Mus musculus: one gene and its partner. The protein of the gene in region 1 interacts with the protein of each later gene in a biochemical or structural test. Links are inferred from orthologs where the notes say so. Each region holds a gene or a part of one and is shown on either strand. Other genes may lie near its edges. The genes, in order: Cacybp and S100a6.

The links.
Region 2: the proteins of Cacybp (region 1) and S100a6 are reported together in a solved structure, tested with the Homo sapiens proteins (2 studies listed by BioGRID and IntAct, with this or other methods). The link is inferred for Mus musculus from reciprocal best matches to the Homo sapiens genes CACYBP and S100A6.

The regions. Positions count from the first base shown.
Region 1 is NC_000067.6:160,209,913-160,214,344, forward strand, and holds the start of Cacybp (calcyclin-binding protein), read right to left. Parts: upstream 2,981-4,432; 5' UTR 2,756-2,980; coding exon 2,735-2,755; intron 1-2,734. UniProt on the Homo sapiens protein: May be involved in calcium-dependent ubiquitination and subsequent proteasomal degradation of target proteins. Probably serves as a molecular bridge in ubiquitin E3 complexes. Participates in the ubiquitin-mediated degradation of beta-catenin (CTNNB1).
Region 2 is NC_000069.6:90,611,336-90,615,109, forward strand, and holds S100a6 (protein S100-A6), read left to right. Parts: upstream 1-1,558; 5' UTR 1,559-1,891; intron 1,892-2,407; 5' UTR 2,408-2,431; coding exon 2,432-2,569; intron 2,570-2,855; coding exon 2,856-2,987; 3' UTR 2,988-3,079; downstream 3,080-3,774. Other genes in the region: S100a5 (protein S100-A5), read left to right, coding at 176-319. UniProt on the Homo sapiens protein: May function as calcium sensor and modulator, contributing to cellular calcium signaling.

The DNA of each region.
Region 1 (4,432 bases):
CTTGTTGTAAGACTTTGACTCCTAGCAAGCAGAGGTTACACCCACCCAAAAACATCTCAGCGAGAAAGCCTAAACTTGAACTGAACAAAGATGACAATAGATATGCTAATGTGGACAAGGAAAGCCTAGGGTGTCACTACTCTACACAAGAACAGGCTCCAAAGAGAGGCTGAGGGCAGGAGAAAGTCTTCCCCAGAAGAGCCCAGTACCAAACGGTCAGCCCTGAGCTTACCTACTAGTAACATCACACAGACTATGTATGCAACAATGAAAAAAAAATGAGACAGAGAAACTATGAAATTGAAAGAGTGCAAATGGCAGGGATTGGAGGGAGGAAGAGGGAAATGATTTATTATATTTATATTTATTATAATTTCAAGAAATAAAAAATAATTTTAAAATATTTTAAATGCTAGATATTAGATAGTAAAAAAAAAAAAATAGCTCAAATAGCTCATTACTCTGTGGCCATTATATTATGATTTCCTAACAGTTTATAAAAAGCACAACAGTGAAACTCCGGTCTACAATCCCAAGGAAACTTGACTCTAAGATCCAAAACTGCAAAACTGTCACTCATCTTTTGAATTTAGAATCAAGATATTTCATTCAAAGTTTTTCAGTGGTTTCAAAATTCATATGGATTATCAAGTACCACTGTTGGTGAAAGTGGGTTGGTGGGACTTTACCACAGATTCTAAATATCAGCATAATAAAAAAAAATATTAAAAGCAAAGCAAGTACTTATTCCTAGGACAGAGCTTTACTTAACAAACGGAGAAAGGAAAAGGTTTTGCTTTAAACTGGAATGGGAATCTTTTTTTTGAGCTGACTCATGGCAGAATTCCCAGGCCCTCCCAGTTTTCGCTCTAATGGACTCTTTAGTAAGATACCAACTGATGCGACCTACAGGAGAACCATTGCTTGATTTTTGTATTCACAGCCCAGAAACCACTGACAGTGTAGGTTCTGACTGGGATTAGATAGAACAGTTTCCTGTCCACTTTTTCTTGCCTTCTTGGCATGCATTTGTTTTCTATACATAAACATTTATCTCCCTTTGAATCTGTTTCCCAGTTGTTAAATAGGGGCTCGGTCTGGCCTGGTGGCACATGCCTTTAGTTCTGCCACTCTGGAGGCAAGTGTATCTCAAAGACCAAGTGAGGGGTACTCAGTGAGACCTACTCCCACCCAACTGCTCAAAATGGAAGAACCCAACTCTCCTCCACAAAGACATGGAATTGGACACCAGGTACACACACAAATAGATGCACACAGCTATGAAGATGCATAGCCAATGCATGAGGTGGTACTACACCCTCATGTGGATGTTAGCATATGAACAAAAACCACCCAATAAAATAACAAATGTTAGTGAATGTGTGGAGAAATGGCACCTTTTGTGCAATTCTTGTGGAAACGGTAGCTTCCTAAGACTTTCCCTATTATTTGGCAATTACACGGACTAAAAACATGCCCACAAAACAAAACTTGTTTACAAGAAATCACAATCGGCAAGATGGAGAAACAGAAGAGTAGGAATTCCATCTGTACAATGGGACAGTATTCAACCACCCAAAGGAATGCCATACTGATACCACGACTGAACTAGAAAATCCTAAGGCTCCAGCCTAAGTAGATGGAGCACCTACAATGGATTTCTATTTAAGGAAACGAAAATAGTCTGCAACTAGGTAACACTGATGGTTGTACGACAGAAAAAGTTGAATTTCACATCTTAATATGATTGAATAAGGTGAATTTTAATCTCAGAAGAAAAACATGCCCCTATATGCATAGCTCCAAGTCTAAAGTCCCTTCTCTTTTGGAGACAATTAATGCTGCACAACTGTTAAGCCACCCTCTCCACTCTCCCAGTGAGCACGTGGTGCCTGCCTATCTTGTCGCAAGATACCCAGATGAATACTTTAACTTCCTAATTTTTATGTGTTTAAAGCCCATGATTTCTAAGTGAGGGAGAAGTTTCCGAAAAGCAAATCTTAACAGCCAATGTTTCTGTGAAAACAATATGTCAATCACATAAAACCTGTATTGGCCAAAACCCGGCAATTCAATTACTCTTGCTATGGAGACCTCGAGGATCCAAAAAGTCAAGTCATTCACATTCATTTTTTACAAATCTAAAAACACACGCCAGGCAATTTCCTAGTCGTACCTACTGCTCAATTCCCAGTAACTTTTTAAAAATTGCTTTTATACATAAAGACTGGGGGTATACCGGAACGGTAGAGAGCTTGCCTAGCGTGTGTAAGGCCTGCAGGTCCGCCACTGGCACTGCTAAATAAAAACTGAAACCATAAGCACTGTCCAGGGCGTTTAGAAATAATACAGAGAATGTATGTATAACCACCTATAAAATGAAAGCGGTGACCATGACTAGTCATGCGGGCATGGGAATTCCTTCCCATGGCCCCCGGCCCGGAGCTCAGAGCTTTGCAGGAAGGTTTCTGATCCCTGGCCAGGAACCGGGAGCCGAGAAGACCTCAGGCAATGGAGAGAGGGGACCGCCACCCGCGAGCCTACCACGAACCGCGCCAAAAATTGGGATCCAGACACACCCCCGACCTTCCAGCCGCGGCCGGGACACTCAGGCCCAGGCAGGCGGCGGCGTAGAGGCCGCGGGCCCGCGACGGGGGCAGAGCCGAGGACATCAGCCCCGGGAAAGCAGCCGCCGCCCGGCGGCGCGAGCCGGTGGGTCCAGGCCGACCCCTACCTCTTCCAAAACGGAAGCCATGCCGTCGCGCGTCAGACCCGAGGCCGGAGCTGCAGCGGTGCACCGAAGCAGACAGGAAAAGCCGAACACGCCACCCACGAGCGTCGCAGCGCCGGCAGCGAGCTCCACAGACCCGGCGCGACACGGCGGCCCGCCCTCCGCACGAGACGGCTCTGGAACCTTCGCAAGGCTCCACCGGAGCCTCCCAAGGCCCCGCCCCTCCGAGTCTAGTCCCGCCCCCAGGCTGGTTGCCTAGCAACGCTCAATTCTCGCGAGCGATCGAATGCTCAGGAGGCGTCCAGCCACTTCCTTCCGCCCCAGCGATTGAGACGTCGTTCCGCGCCGGCAGAACCGGGCTGCGCAGTCGCAGCTCGCAACCGCGGCCAGACCTAGCCCCGGAACTAACCTTCAAAGGTTTGGGGACCCGATAGGAAGTGTCTCGAGAAGGGCTGCTTCCGCTGGTGCGATGCGGAGTTGCCAGGCCGCCATCTTGTCTTCGGCAGCTCTGAGGTATCGGGAAAGAACAAAGGAGCGCCCCCAAAGAAGCACAACTACCATCAAAAAAGGACGGATTTGTTAAGGGAGGAAGGCTCCTAAGTAGAACAATGGCTTTAAGTGGGCCTTGGGTTTCTGGAGGCGTCCTGCGTCTAGCACCGTTGACGTGGCGCCATCTCGTGGGACTGTAGGAAGGTTGCACGGGCTTCCTGACTGGCTCTGGGCGCCGTGGTGGAAAGCGGCACGGTTTCAAGTGGCCGAACGCTCCATTCTCCCTTGCCTATATGAGCTCTTGATACGAAGTTTTCCACTGCCTTCGCTCTTTACTAGCGGTTTATTTTGTATTTTCAGCAGGGTTTGGATTGAGTGAATTTCCACGTAAAATGTGGAGGAATTCTTAGGACTTTGGGTTGCAGCAGCCCGGATTAGTAAACCCCCAGCGTAAAACCGTTTTTCAAATTATCTTAATTATGACAGCATAGAGACGTCCATAACACCCAGTAAACCGAGACAGAAAACAAACAGTACCCATTGGGAGGTAGAGCAATCTGCTGTCAGCTTACAGATGCTTAGGGGAGTTACTAGCATCAGCAAGTCAAGGAAAATGCTGCTACACTACACTTTATATTAATGTAACATTAAGGCATGCAACCTGTACGAACTTCTCACACAAACTTGCACAAAATGACAAGTTAGACAGGGATGTATGTCGTGTATAGTTGCAACTTAAATAAAAGTCTCAAACCACCAGTCCCATGGCCTATAGTGATAAAAATAAAAACAATCCTTTTCTGGAGTGGACAATGACAGAAAGGTGCCACCCTTTGAAGTTTATGAAAAGGTGAAATAAAAAGGAGGAGGACATGGCTACTTCTAAAGTATGGAGAAGATTTTTTTTATTATTTTTAATTTTTTTTTGTAGCTATAAGGAAGACAGGCAGAGGGAAGGGTCCAGGTCGAACATGACTGTTAGACTAAATACAACATAAGAGCAAGAGGGGCCTTGAACCTGTAAGAGTCCATGAATGGTCTAAGAATCATACCCTAGGCTCAAACAGTATGTAAACGCACAGAGTGTTTTATTCTGCAGAAGTCCAGCGGTGCTGGAGTCTCCCATTACCAGAAATAAAGAGTCAACCAAGTGAGCTTGAAGGCCTGATTTAATGCATGTTAGGAGATTCCATTTATTCCCTAGGGGATGAC
Region 2 (3,774 bases), on another chromosome or scaffold:
TTCAGTAGGAATTGGTATGAATTACAGATTATTATTTCTTTGGATGGGAAGATGTCCCAGGAGCAAAGGCTAGACTAAGCCTTCCTACTGTAATTCATTTGGAATATGGTCCTGTGGTAAAGGTGTGGGCTGGGGCTGGGCTGCTGAGTAGTCTCCTCCTCTTGGGCCCTTGTAGAAGATGAAGGAGAGCAGCATTGATAACTTGATGAAGAGCCTGGACAAAAACAGCGACCAGGAGATTGACTTCAAGGAGTACTCTGTGTTCCTGACCACGCTGTGCATGGCCTACAATGACTTCTTCCTAGAGGACAACAAATGACCAGGACACTGGCAGCTCCTGATCCTGACCTCTGCAGCCTCTTTAACTGCCCCTCCTATGGCCCCTGCCCTTCTCTTTCTCCCAGATGGATCCTTCCAGCAGAGAAATAAAGCCTTATCCATTACACGCACTGGTTTTAAGGTGGTTTGTGTCTTGGCTGAGGCAGGGGAGAACAGACATTTTGGACCACTAAGCCTTGGGCCACACACAGGTGGTCTGTGGATAGCAGGAGCTGGGCTCTCATCCCTCTTCACTGGCAGTCCTTCATCATGGACATTGTTGGAGGTGTCCTGACTTTGTTCTGCACTCCTGTAAAATAACAAAGCTGCCCAGACAGCAAAGATGCAGAGAAAACAAGAGAAAAGGCCGTGAGAGCTAGGAGGCCAGAGGGATGGGCTGTGGCCCAGCAGTGATGGTCCCGCAGGTCTGACTTGGGGATAGCCCGCAGGAGACCACCCCAGGAGCCCTTCTCCTCTCCCTTCCAGGAACACCCCTCCCATTACTCACTGAAGAGTGACTTCAGGATGCTAATCCCTCCCCACACCCTACCAACTTCCTCTTCTCAAGACTCCTCCCCATTACCCCCCCCCACCCCAGGAGAAAATGTTCAAAACTTTTCACTTGAGATGAGTAACTGAGAATGCTCGCTGGGCTTGGCTCTACTATGTGCACATTCATGCATAAGCTGCTCTAAGGATGAAAATCCAGGCAGTGAGTGGGAGGAGGCGAGTGATGTTGCTAGAAATTTATGGTTGGTGGGGGATGCTGTTTAAAATCTTTTAGACTGTGTTCTTTCCCCATGCCCCCTTTGATACAAGGCTCAAAATTCTACCTTTTGGGATCAACGTCTTTAGCTATATATCAAGATTTAGACCAGTGGTTCTCAACCTGTGGGTTGAGACCCCTTTCACAGGAATTGCCTAAGACCATCTGAAAACACAGATATACACATTAAGATTCATAACAGTAGCAAAATTATAGCTATGAAGTAGAAACGAGAATAACTTTATGATTGGGGGACCACCACAACTTGAAGAACAGTATTAAAGGGCCGCAGCATTAGTCAGGTTGAGTGAGAACCATTTCTTAGAGGATGTGGTAGACAGACTGCTTCCCCTCCCTCACTTGGGGACCTTGCCACTAGAGGGCAACAGCATCAGTGTGGTTCCCAGTCCCCCTCACACTGATGCTAACTTTAAGGACACTGCTCTCGGGCTGGCAGAAGGTTCAGCACACAAGCCAGAGTTTCGAGTCACGTGCCAGAAGGGAAAACTAAACACGGAATTAGAGAAAACTTGATGCCTCTGGCTTGCACTGGTCTCCTTTGGGCCCGTTAGGGCCCGCTAAACTCCCTCATTCCGCTCCTAATCCTGGACAGTCCAGGCAACAGGGGCGTGGAAAGTTGAGGGGGCTGGGATGTTCGTTTGCCTTGCCTCAGGCGCTGGGTGGGGTCGGGGCGTGCCAGCACTCCCTGGGCGGACCTCACGGATGCTGGCCACTATAAGGCCGGCCAGACTGCGACACATTCCATCCCCTCGACCACTCCTTTGGCGCTTCGCTGTCGACCGTGCGGTGAGCTCTCGCTGGGGGGTCCCTCTAGGGTCTTTCTGCTCCTGGGCAAGGGGTTAAGCCACTTCCTTCCCCCGTCAGCCTCTGCAGGCTCAGTGGGTGGAATGCATTGGGATCCAAGTTTTCGGAGCCCAGGGAGGCAGGGAGAGCCATGATTAGGTGGGTTGTATCAGGCAAACCCAGAGGCTAATGCATCCCTATGGGGCGGCAACCTGAGTCTGCTCTTCTGGGGTGCAGGAGGGTTTGCCCTGGGTGTGTCATCGTCCCAGTGTGTGGCTATGTCAGGAGGTGCCCAGGGGCACTCTCCATTCTCTTCCTTGCTCAGTCATATGCCCTAGTTCTCTTGGAAGCCCTGGAGGACAGTGCTCACAGATCCCAAAGCCCCTTCCATTCTTATATCCCTCACCTAAGTTGCCCCGGCTGCCACCTGTGTTGGCTTGAGACTGACTGCCTCAGGCAGGGGGGTGGTGAGAGAACTCTCTGCTATCAGCAGCACTGACTAGCCCCTCTGTCAAACAGCTTCTTCTAGCCCAGTGATCAGTCATGGCATGCCCTCTGGATCAGGCCATTGGCCTTCTCGTGGCCATCTTCCACAAGTACTCTGGCAAGGAAGGTGACAAGCACACCCTGAGCAAGAAGGAGCTGAAGGAGTTGATCCAGAAGGAGCTCACCATTGGCTCCGTGAGTAGCCCCTGTCCCGGTTCCCCCTCCTGCCTCTCATCTGAGTGGCATTTAATCACAGTTCCTGATCTTACTTCCTGTGGAGGGATGCTCGTATGCCTCCATGCTGCCCTGTCCCCTGAGGGAGGAGCAGGGGCTGAGGAGAGTAAATCAAGGTAAACCCAAGCTGAAGGCCCATCTTTGGTCCCAACGAGCACTTGTTTGAGAGAGGACTTCCAGGGAAGGGGTAAGGAATCTAGGGTGTTGGCCACCACTGAGTGTGGACTTCTCCTTCTTAATGTATTAGAAGCTGCAGGATGCTGAAATTGCAAGGCTGATGGATGATCTGGACCGTAACAAGGATCAGGAAGTAAACTTCCAGGAGTATGTCGCCTTCCTGGGGGCCTTGGCTTTGATCTACAATGAAGCTCTGAAATAAAATGGGACCGTTGAGATGACTTCCGGGGGCCTCTCTCGGTCAAATCCAGTGGTGGGTAGTTATACAATAAATATTTCGTTTTTGTTATGCCTACTCATGTGTTCTGGCTTCCCACTGATTTCCAGTTGCTTCCTGCCTTGCTGCTGGACCCACCATCCAGTGGTCTTAGTCACAGTTAAACTCTGGGAGTAGTAGCTCATTGGCCCACCAGGCCAGGTCTGCCAGCTGACCAGGAATCTTTATGGGTATTAGAAGAGGAGGCCCCTCTAGGCAAAGCCACTCTAAACAAAGGCTCAATCAAGTGACCTTCAGGAGAAAGTGGCCTTTAGAGGCAGGTCTGCAGTAGTCCCAGCAGTCTCCTGGCAGACACACTTTGGTCTGGGTGTGGTGAAACAGGGAGTACTAGGTGGGCCCTGACGTTGGGCAATCCACCTTTTCACTGTGTGTTTGTGTGTTATATGAGGGAGGCGTGGGGAGAGGCACATCTGAGGTGAGCAGGGAGGGACACAGGATGACTGAGTTTTCCGTAGCTGCCTGTGTTCCAGTTGGAGGTGGAGGAGACTGTAGGAGACGGTCCCTAGTGTCAGGTATGGGGTCCTTTTTGTTGAGCTAAGGAGCTGGCAGCTCCACGCACATGTGACTCACGAGGTGCTCGCAAACAGGGCAGGGCTGGGGTCCCGAGACATGCCAGATGCGGCATCAGGCCTTTCTGTCAATATTGACCCAGCCTGTCCCTGCAGAATGACTCATGGGGCTACTTCCCTGGAACGTAGTTGAACCCTCAATC